3 linked regions of the Callithrix jacchus genome follow. The protein of the gene in region 2 interacts with the protein of the main gene of each other region in a pairwise test. Links are inferred from orthologs where the notes say so. Each region holds a gene or a part of one and is shown on either strand. Other genes may lie near its edges.

What was found. The genes of interacting proteins can lie anywhere in the genome.
Region 1: the proteins of SGTA (region 2) and TFRC interact in binary tests that used the Homo sapiens proteins (3 or more experiments, as listed by UniProt). The two-hybrid records come from large-scale screens. The link is inferred for Callithrix jacchus from reciprocal best matches to the Homo sapiens genes SGTA and TFRC.
Region 3: the proteins of SGTA (region 2) and FXYD7 interact in binary tests that used the Homo sapiens proteins (3 or more experiments, as listed by UniProt). The two-hybrid records come from large-scale screens. The link is inferred for Callithrix jacchus from reciprocal best matches to the Homo sapiens genes SGTA and FXYD7.

The regions. Positions count from the first base shown.
Region 1 is NC_133518.1:80,924,134-80,928,817, forward strand, and holds the start of TFRC (transferrin receptor protein 1), read left to right. Parts: upstream 1-1,673; 5' UTR 1,674-1,732; intron 1,733-1,921; exon of another isoform or gene 1,922-3,148; intron 3,149-4,684. UniProt on the Homo sapiens protein: Cellular uptake of iron occurs via receptor-mediated endocytosis of ligand-occupied transferrin receptor into specialized endosomes. Endosomal acidification leads to iron release.
Region 2 is NC_133523.1:2,624,970-2,629,151, forward strand, and holds the start of SGTA (small glutamine-rich tetratricopeptide repeat-containing protein alpha), read right to left. Parts: upstream 2,801-4,182; 5' UTR 2,766-2,800; coding exon 2,663-2,765; intron 2,092-2,662; exon of another isoform or gene 2,002-2,091; intron 1-2,001. UniProt on the Homo sapiens protein: Co-chaperone that binds misfolded and hydrophobic patches-containing client proteins in the cytosol. Mediates their targeting to the endoplasmic reticulum but also regulates their sorting to the proteasome when targeting fails.
Region 3 is NC_133523.1:31,480,910-31,485,664, reverse strand, and holds the start of FXYD7 (FXYD domain-containing ion transport regulator 7), read right to left. Parts: upstream 3,012-4,755; 5' UTR 2,942-3,011; coding exon 2,911-2,941; intron 1-2,910. Other genes in the region: FXYD1 (phospholemman), read right to left, coding at 3,534-3,556, 3,752-3,801, 4,702-4,738. UniProt on the Homo sapiens protein: Associates with and regulates the activity of the sodium/potassium-transporting ATPase (NKA) which catalyzes the hydrolysis of ATP coupled with the exchange of Na(+) and K(+) ions across the plasma membrane.

The sequences.
Region 1 (4,684 bases), on a different chromosome or scaffold from region 2:
TTCCACCATGCTGGATAATTTTCTGTATTTTTAGTAGAGACAGGGTTTCACCATGTTAGCCAGGATGGTCTCAATCTCCTGACCCCGTGATTCCCACGCCTCGGCCTCCCAAAGTGCTGGAATTACAGGCGTGAGCCACCGCGCCTGGCCTAGGGAGAGAGATTTTAGAGAATGGGAGTAAAGAGGCAGGTGGTGAGAAAATCCCAAGTACTTTCTCTGTCTTAGAGCAGAAGAAATAATGGGATAAAGGGAAAAGTAAAAGCCCACGGCCCAGAAACATTTGCTGGGTTGTTTGTATTTGTAAATGTAACCACCTCCCTGGCTCAGGTTACCGACCCGAGGGGGGGGACAGCGGGCGATTGTTTGGAAACAGTTTAAACAGTGACAAGAATTGAATTTTATTTGTTTGCTGCCGGTGGCTCATGCCTGTAATCTCAGCACTTTGAGAGGCCAAGGCGGCTGGATCAAGCGGTCAGAAGTTCAAGACCAGCCTGGCCAAGATGGCGAAACCCCATCTCTACTAAAAATACAGAAATTAATTAGCTGGTCGCGGTGGCGGGCACGTGTCATCTCAGCTATTCGGGGGCTGAGGCAGGAGAATCTCGAACCCCGCGGACGGGAGGTAGCGGGGCGGAGGGTGCACTGAGCTGAGGTCGCGCCATTGCACTCTAGCCTGGGCGACAGGGTGAGAAAAATAAAAATAAAAAAATTAGGGCCGGGCGCGGTGGCGCGTGCCTGTAATCCCAGCACTTTGGGAGGCCGAAGCGGGTGGATCATGAGGTCAGGAGATCGAGACCATCCCGGTCAACATGGCGAAACCCCGTCTCTACTAAAAATACAGAAAATTAGCTGGGCATGGTGGTGCGTGCCTGTAATCCCAGCTGCTCAGGAGGCCGAGGCAGGAGAATTGCCTGAACCCAGGAGGCGGAGGCTGCGGTGAGCCGAGATCGCGCCATTGCACTCCAGCCTGGGTAACAGGAGCCAAACTCCGTCTCAAAAAAAAAAATAATAAAATAAAATAAAAAAATAAAAAATGAAAAACTGAATTCCTCGTTACGCATTGCACAATAACCATAACGGTCATGAAAACGAAAGTTCGCCTCCAATCCCATCACCGCATTCAGTCACTCGTCTGCGTCCTCCCTGTCGGTCCGTCCTGCACTAACGCGACGCGACGCGACGCGCTCCGCCGGTGTCGGTGACAGCGCAGCGTGCACACGTTCCGATAAAAACGCGCGTTTTGCTGTTTGCTCCGTTTTGTATTCCCGAGGCGGCAACACGCACCTTCACACGAGCGGCCGTAACGGCTGCCTACGATCCCCTCCCGCACGGGCGTTCAGGGAGCACCGAAGCGTCCACGCCAGCCGGTCTGACCTTGTCGGTCAAGGTCAGGGGAGGCCGCCGGGTTCCCGGGGCGGGAGGCGTCGAGGCGGAGGTCAGCGCGCCCCTGGCGCGGCTCCTCCGGCACCTGCTGCCTTGGCGCCTTTTCCCCGCGACTTCGCCGGGCCCGGAGCGCCCTCCGCGGAGGACCCCGGGCGCGCGCGCTCCCGCCCCCCGGCGGTCTGTGGAGAGCGCCTCGCTGGGCTACGTGCCTCAGGAAGTGACGCAAGACCCCGGGGGGCGGGGGGGCGGGACCAGGCTATAAACCGCCGGTTCGGGGCCGCAGTGCCCTCAGAGAGCGCCGGGACCTCGCGTGGCGGCTCGGGCTCCGCCGGACGGAGGGCGCGCCAGGGTGAGTGACGCTCGTGTCTTCCCTTCATCCTGCGGGGCTTGCTCGGGCTGCAGCCCCGGTGCGGACCGGCAGCCACAGGGCGCCGCCGCGGGGCGGGAGGGCGGGAGGGCGGCCGGGCGGAGCGGGGCGGGAGGCGGGAGGGCGCCCGGGCGGAGCGGGGCGGGAGGCGGGAGGGCGCCCGGGCGGAGCGGGGCGGGAGGCGGGAGGGCGGCCGGGCGGAGCGGTGAAGGCGGGAGGGCGGCCGGGCGGAGCGGTGAAGGCGGGAGGGCGGCCGGGCGGAGCGGAGCGGTGAAGGCGGGAGGGCGCCCGGGCGGAGCGGTGAAGGCGCCGCGGCGGCGCTGCAGGTGCGCGGGGTGAGAGGCGCCGTTTCGCCGCGCGTCCCTCCGCTTCCGTGCCTTCCCCGCTCTCTGCCTTCTTCCCGCCTGCTGGGTCTCGGAGCGGCGAATGGCTTCCCTGGTTGCTGTGAGGGCGACGCCAGGTGTGCCCCGGTGGGCTCAGCCCGCCATGCTGCTTTCGGCTCCTCGCGGGTGAAAGCTGCGGGCCTCCCGCGCCGGGCCTGGGCTGCGGGTTCGGAGCGCGGCGCGGCCAGGCTGCAGCTGCGCGGCGCGGGGAGCACGTGGCTGCTCCAGGAAGTCGCCCCGGGGAACGGCTGGGATCTGTGGGTGACCTTGGGCTCCTGAACCTCCGCTGCCCCGGGCCCGGGCGGGCGCTGCTCTCGCGAGGAACGGGACAGAGCTGTCCCCGGGTCGGTGACCGGCGTGTCACCCGCAGGAGGTGCGGGTTCTGTAAACGGACACCTGGGCTCTGGCACCCCCTGGCCCTGCCTGTTCGCCCCGAGCGCGCATCCCGTTTTCGCCGGAGAATGGACCCAGCCTTGGGCGGGCGGGCGGGCGGGCACGCCGAGGATGTCGCTGGCAGTTGTCACCCAAGGCGGAGGCCGCAGGAGTGGCTTACTTGCGAAGGACACGGGAAATGAGCGGTGCGGTCAGAGGGCCGTGCTGTACTGACCACGCGGACGGGCCCGTGCGTCCTTTCTGCCGGACGGCGCTTTAAGGTGGCGGTTGGGAGGGTGGGTAAGAAAACATGCTCTGATTCAGCTCTTTTCCCTCTGCTCACTGCTCGTGGAGACCTTGGGTACGTCCCTTACCGTGCAGGGGACTGGATTCTGCGGCATTTTCCATGTTCCTCCCGGTGGATAAGAGGATTAAGGAGGACATTGTATTTGGCGACCCCATAACTTGTATGCTAAGCTCACTGTGAACACGAAGGTTAGGCTCTCTACAGGACTTGTAGACCCTGCTGGTTTTTTACCCCGTCAATGCTGGGTTACAATGTGCTTCTCGAGGGTTTGTCATTGATACTGCAGCGTTAGATACGGCATGGCATCCTCCAGTTTCCTTTGAAGTGGCTATCAAGGTATGGTGGCTGTAACCCTAGCCTGTGTTGAAGACGGTTGGATAGACAGCAGTTAGGCTAAATCTGCCCTAAGGCGAGGCAGTGGCTTCCCTCTGATAATGTACTTAAATGTCACGGAGCAAGGTTCCCAGCTAAACCTGAAGAACCACAATGAAAGCTACTTTGGCCAGGCCGCGTGGTTCACGCCTGTAATCCTAGCACTTTGGGAGGCACAGGCAGGCGGATCGCCTGAGGTTAGGAGTTCGAGACCAGCCCAACCAACGTGGTGAAACCCCGTCTGTATTAAAAATAGAAAAATTAGCTGGGCGAGGTGGCCAACGCCTGTAATCCCAGCTACTTGGAAGGCTGAGGCAGGAGAATCACTTGAACCCAGGAAGCAGAGGTTGCAGTGAGCCGAGATCGGGCTGCTGCACTCTAGCCTGGGCGACAGAGCAAGACTCCATCTCAAAACAAAATAAAACAAAATAAAAAAACTTCCCTATTAAACCATAAGAGTGGCAGGAATGGGGAAAGATTCCAGGTCCAATGTTTTCATTATGTTTTTCATATCATTTGAAATCTCAGGCATCAAGCATGCTCCAATACTATTAAATAATATTTTTACAGGTAGTTCAGTATCAGTTATTACAGGATAGGGAAGACAGTCAGAGAAGGCTTCATAGAGATGGCCCTTGAGCTGAGCCTGGAAGAAATGAGGAGGACCTCAAGGAACAGAGGAAGAATGTTAGTGGGTGAAAGCATGGGCTGGATTCTGTCCGATTTTGGAGAAAATAGACGGTAGTGAAGTTGTTAGGCTAAATGTGTTTAGAACAGAGCTTCTAAAGCAAGCAGAGAAACTTCGGTTTATCTGAGCTCCAAGGACTTGAAACAGTGGCCTGGTTTATAAACTGAGGTGGGCTTGTCAGTAGTAACAAACGTGGCTTACTTAAGAAAAGTGAAGTAGCGGCTTTGGGTATGTTTGGCATAGGTGAAATTTTGGTATCTGATCCCCACTGAGCTTCGTGTAGATCTCTAATTTTGAGTCTGTACAAAGAAGCCCCAAACCTCCAGATAAGTACTGCATTTAGAAAACTGAATAGAGTTTAATGCCGTATTTTAATAAAGTAGGAATGATTCAATTTTAAAGAAGTTTGGGAGCTGGGTGCAGTGGCTCACGCCTGTAACTTTAGCATTTAGAGAGGCTGAGGCAGGCGGAACACTTGAGGCCAGGAATTGGAGACCGGCCTGGCCAACATGGCAAGAAACTCTTTCTCTAATAAAAATACAAAAAGTTAGCTGGGAATGGTATTGTACGCCTATAATTCCAGCTACTCCAGAAACTGAGGCACAAGAATTACTTGAGCCTGGGAGGCAGAGGTTGCAGTGAGCCAAAATGACCCCATTGCACTTCAACCCAGGTGACAGAGCCAGACCCTGTCTCAAAAAGAAAAAAAAATTGTAAAGAAGTTTGGGACGGTGGTTTAGCTAGCATGTTTGCCAGCCCCTTATCCTCCATCTTAAAGATGTTTCAGAACTTCCTTGAATTTCATGATTCAA
Region 2 (4,182 bases):
AAGTTCCTCGGGGAGGCCATTTTTCTCTGGGCCTGTTTCCACCTCAGTGAAAGAGGAAGCAGGCCAGATGTGGTGGGGCACGCCTCTCGTCACAGAACTTTGGAGGCAAGGTGGACCATCACTTGAATCCAGGAGCTTGAGACCAGCCTGACTTGAGAGGCTAAACTCCAAAGTACCCATTACCCTAGACACAAAATTGGGTGCACACACAAAACTTCGTTCACGATTTCACGGAGCCACACGCTCCCAGCTGCCCATGCTGGTAAGGTATCACTGATCTAGCATAGGGTTTTGATTTTTGACGGGGTCTTACTCTGTCACCCAGGCTGGAGTGCAATGGCGTGGTCTCGGCTCACTGCAACCTCAGCCTCCTGGGTTCAAGGGATTCTCCTGCCTCAGCCTCCTGAGTAGTTGGGATGACAGGCACACATGCCACCATGCCCAGCTAATTTTTGTCTCTTCAGTACAGATGGGATTTCACCATGTTGGCCAGGCTGGTCTCAAACTCCTGACCTCAGGCGATCCACCCATATGATAAGGTTTTTAAAGCATGATTGACATTCGACACTAGATTATTCTCTGGGGCGGGGCTATCCTAGGCACTGCAGGGTAGTGAGCAGCATCCCTGGCCTCTACCCACTCCGTACCAGGAGGTCCCCCAAATCATGACAACCACAAGGTCACCAAGTATCCCCGGGGCATAGGACTGTTCCCGGTTGAGACCCGCTGGTCAAGGGAGGGAAAAGACAGACAAAACGAATAATCAGAGACAGAAACAAGGCAAGGCACGGTGGCTCACGCCTGTAATCCCAGCACTGTGGGAGGCTGAGGCGGGTGGATCACGAGGTCAAGAGTTCGAGACCAGCCTGAGCAACATGGTGAAAGCCCTTCTTTACTAAGAATACAAAAATTAGGCGGGCGTGGTGGTGCGTGCCTGTAGTCCCAGCTACTGAGAGAATGACGCAGGACAACTGCTTGGGCCCCAGAGGTGGAGTGAGCCAAGATCACGCCATTGCAACAGAGCAAGACTCCGTCTCAAAACAAAACAAAGCAAAAAAAACCAAAAAACAGAAAAACAAATGAGTGTGCGGGAGCCCAGACATCCCCAGGTGTTCCTGCCCTTCCTGTTGTCACTGTTCTCTATTTGCCTTTGTCATTTTTAACAGTTTCTTTAAAACGCTGTTGTAGGACAGGCATGGGGGCTCACACCTGTAACCCCAGCACTTTGGGAGGCTTAGGCAGACAGATCATCAAGTCAAGAGTTGGAGACCAGCCTGGCCAACATGGTGAAACCCCGTCTCTACTAAAAATACAAAAAAATTAGCCGGGCGTGGTGGCACCAACCTGTAATCCCAGCTACTGGGGAGGCTGAGGCAGGAGAATCGCTTGAACCCAGGAGGTGGAGTGAGCCGAGATGAAGCCACTGCACTCCTGTCTGGGCGACCGAATAAGATTCCGTCTCAGCCGGGCGCGGTGGCTCATGCCTGTAATCCCAGCACTTTGGGAGGCTGAGGCGGGCGGATCACGAGGTCAAGAGATCAAGACCATCCTGGTCAACATGGTGAAACCCCGTCTCTACTAAAAATACAAAAAATTAGCTGGGCACGGTGGCACGTGCCTGTAATCCCAGCTACTTGGGAGGCTGAGGCAGGAGAATTGCCTGAACCCAGGAGGCGGAGGTTGCGGTGAGCCGAGATCGCGCCATTGCACTCCAGCCTGGGTAACAAGAGCAAAACTCCGTCTCAAAAAAAAAAAAAAAGACACAGAAACAAAAGAAAATGGGAGAATCATTCACCCTCTGAGATGCACACTCACGGCAATCTTCTGGCCCCGAATAACAAAAACAGCCGTTCTCAAGCCAGCTCTCTCTTACCAACTTCCAGGCACCCCGTCAAAGAATCCTATGTGGGTTTACCCTCATAAGGACCCTCCGACACATCTGCTTTTACCACTCCTGTTTACGAAAGAAGGGGCGCTTTGCTTAGAGCGGAGGCGACTCACCCAGGTTTACGCAGCGGGTAAGACGTGCTGGAGGGCTGGTCCTGTATCCCACATTGCCCCAACCTCCAGCAAGATATGCAGAAGACGACTCTAAACATGAAATAAGACGAACGGCCGCCAATTCTTCGGGGTTCTCACTTGGCGCTGGGCCCCGCGGCTCTCATTTCCCAGGCAGGGACTTTTGACAGCGTCCGTTTTACAGAGGGGACAACTGAGGCTCCAAAAAGCCAAGAGGCTGGGTAAGGTCACCGAGGTAGGGACTGGCGGCGCTGGGACTAGAGCCCCGACTTGAGTCACCACAAACGGGGGTCCCCGAGTCACAGGAACGACATTTCCAGGCGGTTAATAAGAGCGAGACGGCAGCGGACACCCAGCGAGCGCTCACTACTCCGGGGCGCCTTCACCTCCCGCCGACCTCGCCACCAGCCCGCGGACCAGCATTTCCAGGACCTGGGGTCCGGGACAGGGAGATCGGGGCTCGAACGGCCTGCCCGATGCCTCCCGGCCTCAGTTTCCCCTCCGCGCCACCTACTCACAGGACCCCGCGAGTCGCGGTGACCCTGACCTCACAATCCCCAACCTCTTACGGGCTCTGGGGCCCCGTGAGCCCCGAGCCGCAGACCCCCGATCCCCCAGGCTCAGCACGGAGCCCCTTACTCACCTCTCAGGCGACCGATCCCCGACCCACCGACGGTTGCGCTTGCGCACCGCGGTGCCACCCGGCCCCGGCCCCTGGGCTCCACGCCTGCGCAGAACAAGGGCATCCCGGCTTGCTTCCCTTCTGCGCAGGTGCATTACTGCTCTAAGTGGGCGTGACAGGAAGTGGCGTAACGTAGAGGCGGGTACCAGCTGGTCGTTAGGGCAACTGACCTCTGCGACCTAACGGAGGCCGGAAATCAGGTCTGACTTGCCATCTAAAACAAGCATGAAGCGGTGCATGGTGGGACAGTGGCGGACTGCAACAGGTGGCGGAGCTGACCACGTGGTGCTGGGCCGGCCACGTGGTGCAGCCGCGTTTGGACATCTGGACCTCAGAGCGTCACAGGCGCGCAATGAATGGGAGTCACTGTTATCCGCTCCCTGTCTTTGTTTATTATTTACCCACCCATCTACTCACCCACAAATGCATTCTTTCATGCAATCTATGAGACGTCTGTGAAAATAGAGACATTTGTAGACAGCAGGTGCCTCATATTCAATCAATATTTATTACAAACCAGCCATAAAAATCAGCGAAGTGTCTACTCTCATTATCTTGCATTGGTGTAGACGGACTATCAACTAATAAACTAGTGCATAAATACAGAAACAAGAAATTTCACAGCAAACCCTGCAAAAAAAAAATGAAGGTTGGCCGGGCGCAGTGGCTCAAGCCTGTAATCCCAGCACTTTGGGAGGCTGAGGCGGGTGGATCACAAGGTCGAGAGATCGAGACCAACCTGGTCAACATATGAAACCCCGTCTCTACTAAAAATACAAAAAATTAGCTGGGCATGGTGGCGCGTGCCTGTAATCCCAGCTACTCGGGAGGCTGAGGCAGGAGAATTGCCTGAACCCAGGAGGCGGAGGTTGCGGTGAGCCGAGATCACACCATTGCACTCCAGCCTGGGTAACAAGAGTGAAACTCCGTCTCAAAAAAAAAAAAAAAAAATGAAGGTGCTGTGATTGTGGCTGGGAGCTAGGATGGGTAGGAAAGATCATCGTTTAGATTTGGATTTCAAGGATAGGAAAGTCCAAACTTAAAGTACCCCAGGCACAGGGAACAGCTAAAATGAAGGCTGACGTAAAATTAAGCTTGGTGTGCTCAAGACACCACCCCCCCCCAAAAAAATAGAGACAAAGTGGTGAGAAATTTCCTAGGACAATGGAAAACTTAGCACCATCTGAGTTATAGTTGCCAGAAATGTTCTCTGTTATAAGTAAAAGTTTGATGCTGCAAAAGAAATAGCACTCGAAGACAAATCCTCTCAGCAAGGCAGTTTATTTCTATAGAAGGGTGCAGCTCACTGAGGGAGCGATGCTGACCACATATGTGGGCAAGTGAGAAAAAGGGGTACTTATGCCTGATGGGGGTGGCCCCTACTCCTGTGTCATTCCCCTATTGGCTAGAGTGAGACCGCACAAGCTAGACTAATCCCGATTGGCTCTTTTAAAGGGAGCAGGGGTCCAAGCTGGAGTGGC
Region 3 (4,755 bases), about 29 Mb from region 2:
ATAGAGTAAGACTCCATCTCAAAAAAAAAAAAAAAGATAAAAGAAGAAGAAGATGAATTTTCCATTTGTGATAGTGCTATACAAAATAAAGTTCATTGTTTTTAAAAAGCTAATCCTGAGTTGGGCATGGTGGCACACACCTGCGATCCTAAGCACTTTGGGAGGTCAAGTCGGGTGAATTGCTTAAGCCCAGGAGTTTGAGACCAGCCTGGGAAACATGGCAGAGGTCAAGTTGGGTGAACTGCTTGAGCCCAGGAGTTTGAGACCAGCCTGGGAAACATGGCAGAGGTCAAGTTGGGTGAACTGCTTGAGCCCAGGAGTTTGAGACCAGCCTGGGAAACACAGCAAAACCCATCGCTGCAAAAAATGCAAAAATTAGCTGGATGTATCATTGAGCATCTTGTAGGCCCAGCTACTCAGGAGGCTGAGGCAGGAGGATAGATTAAGCCCAGGCCATTAAGGCTGCAGTGAGCTATGATCGCGCCACTCTACTCCAGCCTGGGTGACAGAGTGAGACCCTGTCTCAAATAATAAAAACAAAAAAGTTACTCCTTTGAAGGAAAAAATTAGGTAAGTAGCAGTATGAGGTATATTTGAATAAAGCAAAAATTGGGACGGTAGTACTCTAAAGCACCAAGATGGGCAAACCCTGTTTCAGGGTCCCTCGTGCTCCGTGTAAGTTTCCCCACCAGAGACTGAGTAAATTTGTTTGACTCATCGCTGCTGTTCATCCTGACATTTATGAAAGGCTCTTCAAGTTTTCTGGGGTGAATGAATGAAGGAATGATTATGAGGCACTCTGAGGTTGCAGGAGACTGCAAAAGGTGGATTGTCTCATTTGTCTCCTGTTTTCCACACACCTGCCCTTCCCCAAAATTTCGGGAGCCCACTGGGTGATCACCTGTGCCAGAATCTGGTGCTCCATGCAGAAGATCCTCCTTGGGTCCCTGCTGCCCCAGCAACCTGGGCTGTCAGGCGAGGCTGGGCTAAGGGTGGGGCCAGAAGTCAGGCAAAAGAATGTGCACTACTCCTGGCCAGCTGCCAAGGAGATATCTGGAAGGAGGTGGTTACTATGGCAACTGGGGCATCTTGGGAGGTGAAGAGAGGTGATAGGTCCCAGCACCTCAGGCTGGGTGGGGTCCCCTGTGGGGTCCTGTGTGAGATGCAGGTTTCAATCTTGACCCCCTCTGCTCCTTTTGCACCTCCTGCTATTGCCCCTGCAGGACTGGTTTCTGGCCAAGCTGAGGGTCCATTTCAGGCATAGGGACCCGGCCCCACCTGTGCTCCTGCATCCCTCTCTGTTCACCCCTAATTCTCCCTCCTATTCTCTGCAGGGTGGAGGGAGACGATCTCCCCTCTTACCCCCCTCACTCCCCAACAATTCATTCATTAGTTTCCTTAAGCAGTTTGTAATGCACAACATGCTTTTCCTCCCCCGGGATTTCCCTGAGACCTGCGGTCCCCTCTCATGCTGCGACTGGGAAAGGGGGAGGCAGAAGAGGTGGGGTTGAAGAGTCTGTCCTCCCACCTCTACCCGTCTCTGCCATCGATCCTGCTAACCACCACCTCTGCAAAAAGAAGCCCTGGGCTCCTGCCAGGCCTGCTGCCTCAGCCCTGCCCCCTCTCCCTAGGGTAGCTTCCAGCCTCTGCAGCCCCCCCCACCCCCCGCCCTGCTTCGGATTCTGCAGATATGGCTCAGTGCAGCAGCCCCCGCCTGCTGGGAAGCGCAGAAGGGAGGGAGCCATAAGTGGGATTGGGGTTCCCTTCACTGCCAGGGGCTTCTCAGCACTTTGATCCATCCCCTGGCCCTGCCCTCAGTGTTAGAGACCCTGGCTGGGCACCCGCTCTTTCTTGAAGCAGTCTGTGCCTTGCTTCTCTGCAGAAGCAAGCTGAGCAATGGGGGTTATTAGGGGTAGACGGTGGAAGCGGGTGTTTAAGCGGGTGCATAACTGGGTTAATGGGTGTGGAATGGAAGTCAGTGTGCGGCTGTATGGGGGCAGTAGGGGCAGCTATGTGCACACCAAGTGCACCTCTGGGATTAGAACCCACCCCTGCTGTGGGCTGGGAAGGAAGGTCCCATCACCCATTTCCACCCATGGGGGTTCACTGCAGTGGTTTGGGCCCCACCCCACACTGACTGCTCCCTTCTTCTCTTTCTATTGCACTCTCCCCATGGGTCCGTCTCTGCTTCTCTCTCCACAGCGATCTCAATCCCACTATCTCCCAGCCTCTCATTTTCTCTCTCTGTGTCTGTCTATGGCTCCCTGCCTTTCCCTTCCACTGAGAATCTCTCTGAGTCCCTCTATTTTTCTTCCTGGGTCTTTGTGTCTGTGACTCTGGATCTTCTGCCTTTCTTGGTCTCTGTCTCTTCCAGGTTCCCTCTGTCTCTTGACTATCCCTTCTCTGTCTCTTCCCTCAGCTCTCACTCCTTTCCTCTGAACCTGGCTCTTTCAGGAAACATATACCCCAGGAGACAGCACTGGAAAGAAGAGGGACATGGACCTCCTCCCCTTCTCTTGCCCACCCCAGGGACCCTGAAATCTTCCAGAGCGTGTCTGGCCGCAGACCCACCCGCTCCCACCCTGCAAGCCCATCTCTTCCCGTCTGCTACCACCACGGTGCCGGACCAGCCACCCGGTTGCCATAGCGACCTGTCCGAGCATCCCTTCTCCCGGGACTGCCAATCTCCAACCTCAGGTCTCGCACAGGTCGCCCGCCGGGGAGAGGGTATCCCAGAGACCCAGAGGGGCGAGCAGGGGGGTGCAGGACAGGGGCCTCCGCCCGCAGGAGGAGCGGACCTCCCCCTCCTCACTCCCCTGCCTTACCATTGCTGGAATTTCCCAACACCCTCTCTCCTAGGCTTTCAGATCACAGAGCCCCCCTACAACCCCCTCCCCAGACGACGCTCACCCTTTGTGGGGGTCTGGGTCGGGGTCGCCATGCTCGGATGGAGCAGGGGGCTTCTGGATGCTTTGGCGGCGAAGGCGCGCTGCAGCAGCTGGAAGCAGGACGGACCGATGTGGAGGGGAGCTGGGGGGAGCCCTGGCGTGGGGGGGTGCCTGTAGCCAATGGGGGCCCGGGGAGCCCGCCCCCGTGCAGGCCACCCCCGCCCCCGCCCCCGCCCACCACTGTCGTCCCCGCCCCTTCCTCTAGGGTGGGGCGCCCCCTGCTGGGGTCCAGAAGCGCTGGATTTTCGCGCTGAGGGACGGAAACCGACTAAACGCTGTCGAGAGGAATGCACGTTTTATTGGAAATCTGGGAGGCAGGGGGAGTCTGCGGGGTAGGGCTGGGGAAGGGGCGGCGGAGGGAGCGGTGGGCGCGCAGGTGGAGCGTGGGAGACCTCAGGTGCCAGGGGAGTCCTGTGGGGGTGAAAAGGATGAGAGGCGAGGGGGTACGTCCAGCCCCCCCCCTCGCCGCCCTCCCACCCTGGCACTTGGCCCCCTCCCTGTTCCGCCCTTTCTTCCTCCCCCCTTCCCTCCTCCCGCCGTGTCAGACCTGCAGCACTCGGCAGGGTTCCATCGTGCCAGGTGTTTCTACCGCCTGCGGGTGGACAGACCTGGGGGGAACACGGAGGTCGGGGGACAGTTAAGAGGGGGATCCCCAGCTTCTGGGCAGGAGGGGCCCACGGCGGGGCAACTCCCTGCCCTCCACTTTCAGATCCAGTCCCTCCCTCTGCGCAACCCGGGAGGGCCAGGAAAAGGGGTCCTTGGAACCAGCCCCCTCCCCCCAAAACCGGTCTCCCCAAACTCACGGCGGATGGAGCTGCGGAAAGTTCCCTCCTCTTCATCGGGTTCCCCAGTCCTGGGAAGACAGAAGCAGAGAGATTTCGGGATGGAAACGGGGAGAGGCTGCCCTTCTAGGAACCAGCCCCCAAGTACAAGCCTCCTTTTCAGACTGGTGTAAGGAGGCCCAGATATGGACGAGAAGCAGGCTCGGGGTCCGCCAGAAGTGAGGAGCACCCAGGAGCAGCTTAAGTGCCTGGCAGGAGGCTTCCAAGCTGGTTAACAGTGAGTACCTCTGCGGATTTGGAGGCGGGGATACGAAGTTGGTAGGGGAGGGATGGTCAAGGGGATTTGGCAGACTGCCACGTGATGGCCTGGGTTGGAAACCCAGAACCCATCTTCCACTTGAGTGATCTTGAGCAAAGTGACTTTACCTCCCTGTGCCTCAGTTTCCTCATCTGTAAAACGGAGTTAATAACCTCACCTCCCTCCCAGAGGAAGTGAAACCGTATCTGACACGTGGTACAACACCCAATAAATATTGGCTACTACTTATGATAATATCTATAATTGTCTAACATATTCAAACATTGTCCATGCTTTAACATTTTATTTGAAGATGAATCAAAGAGCTAGGAACAGGACTACAAGCTAAACTGAGCCGCGTGTGAGATGATCTCATTTCACCGCCGTTCCTTCTTTCCTGCACTTCGTGTTATCACGATTTGTGATTTTTCTATCTGTGGGCTGTTGGAACCCATGGCCACCGCCTCCATTATCCTGGGAGCTCGGCCAGGAAGGGCGGGAGGTTTTTTTCCTCGCTTGGGCCCATGGCTCGGCTTGGGCCAGGGCACATAGTAGGTGCTTAAAACATAGTCGCTGATGGGGATCGGGCTGCGGGGCAGGGGGACTTCCCGCCTCACCCGCGGGGCCCTCCAGAGCGGGAGAGGGCTAGGGATGGCCAGGTGGAGCTTCTTACCTCTGCTGCTGGTTGAACTTGCACCGGCATTTTCTGCCTGTGAGGGTGGAGAGG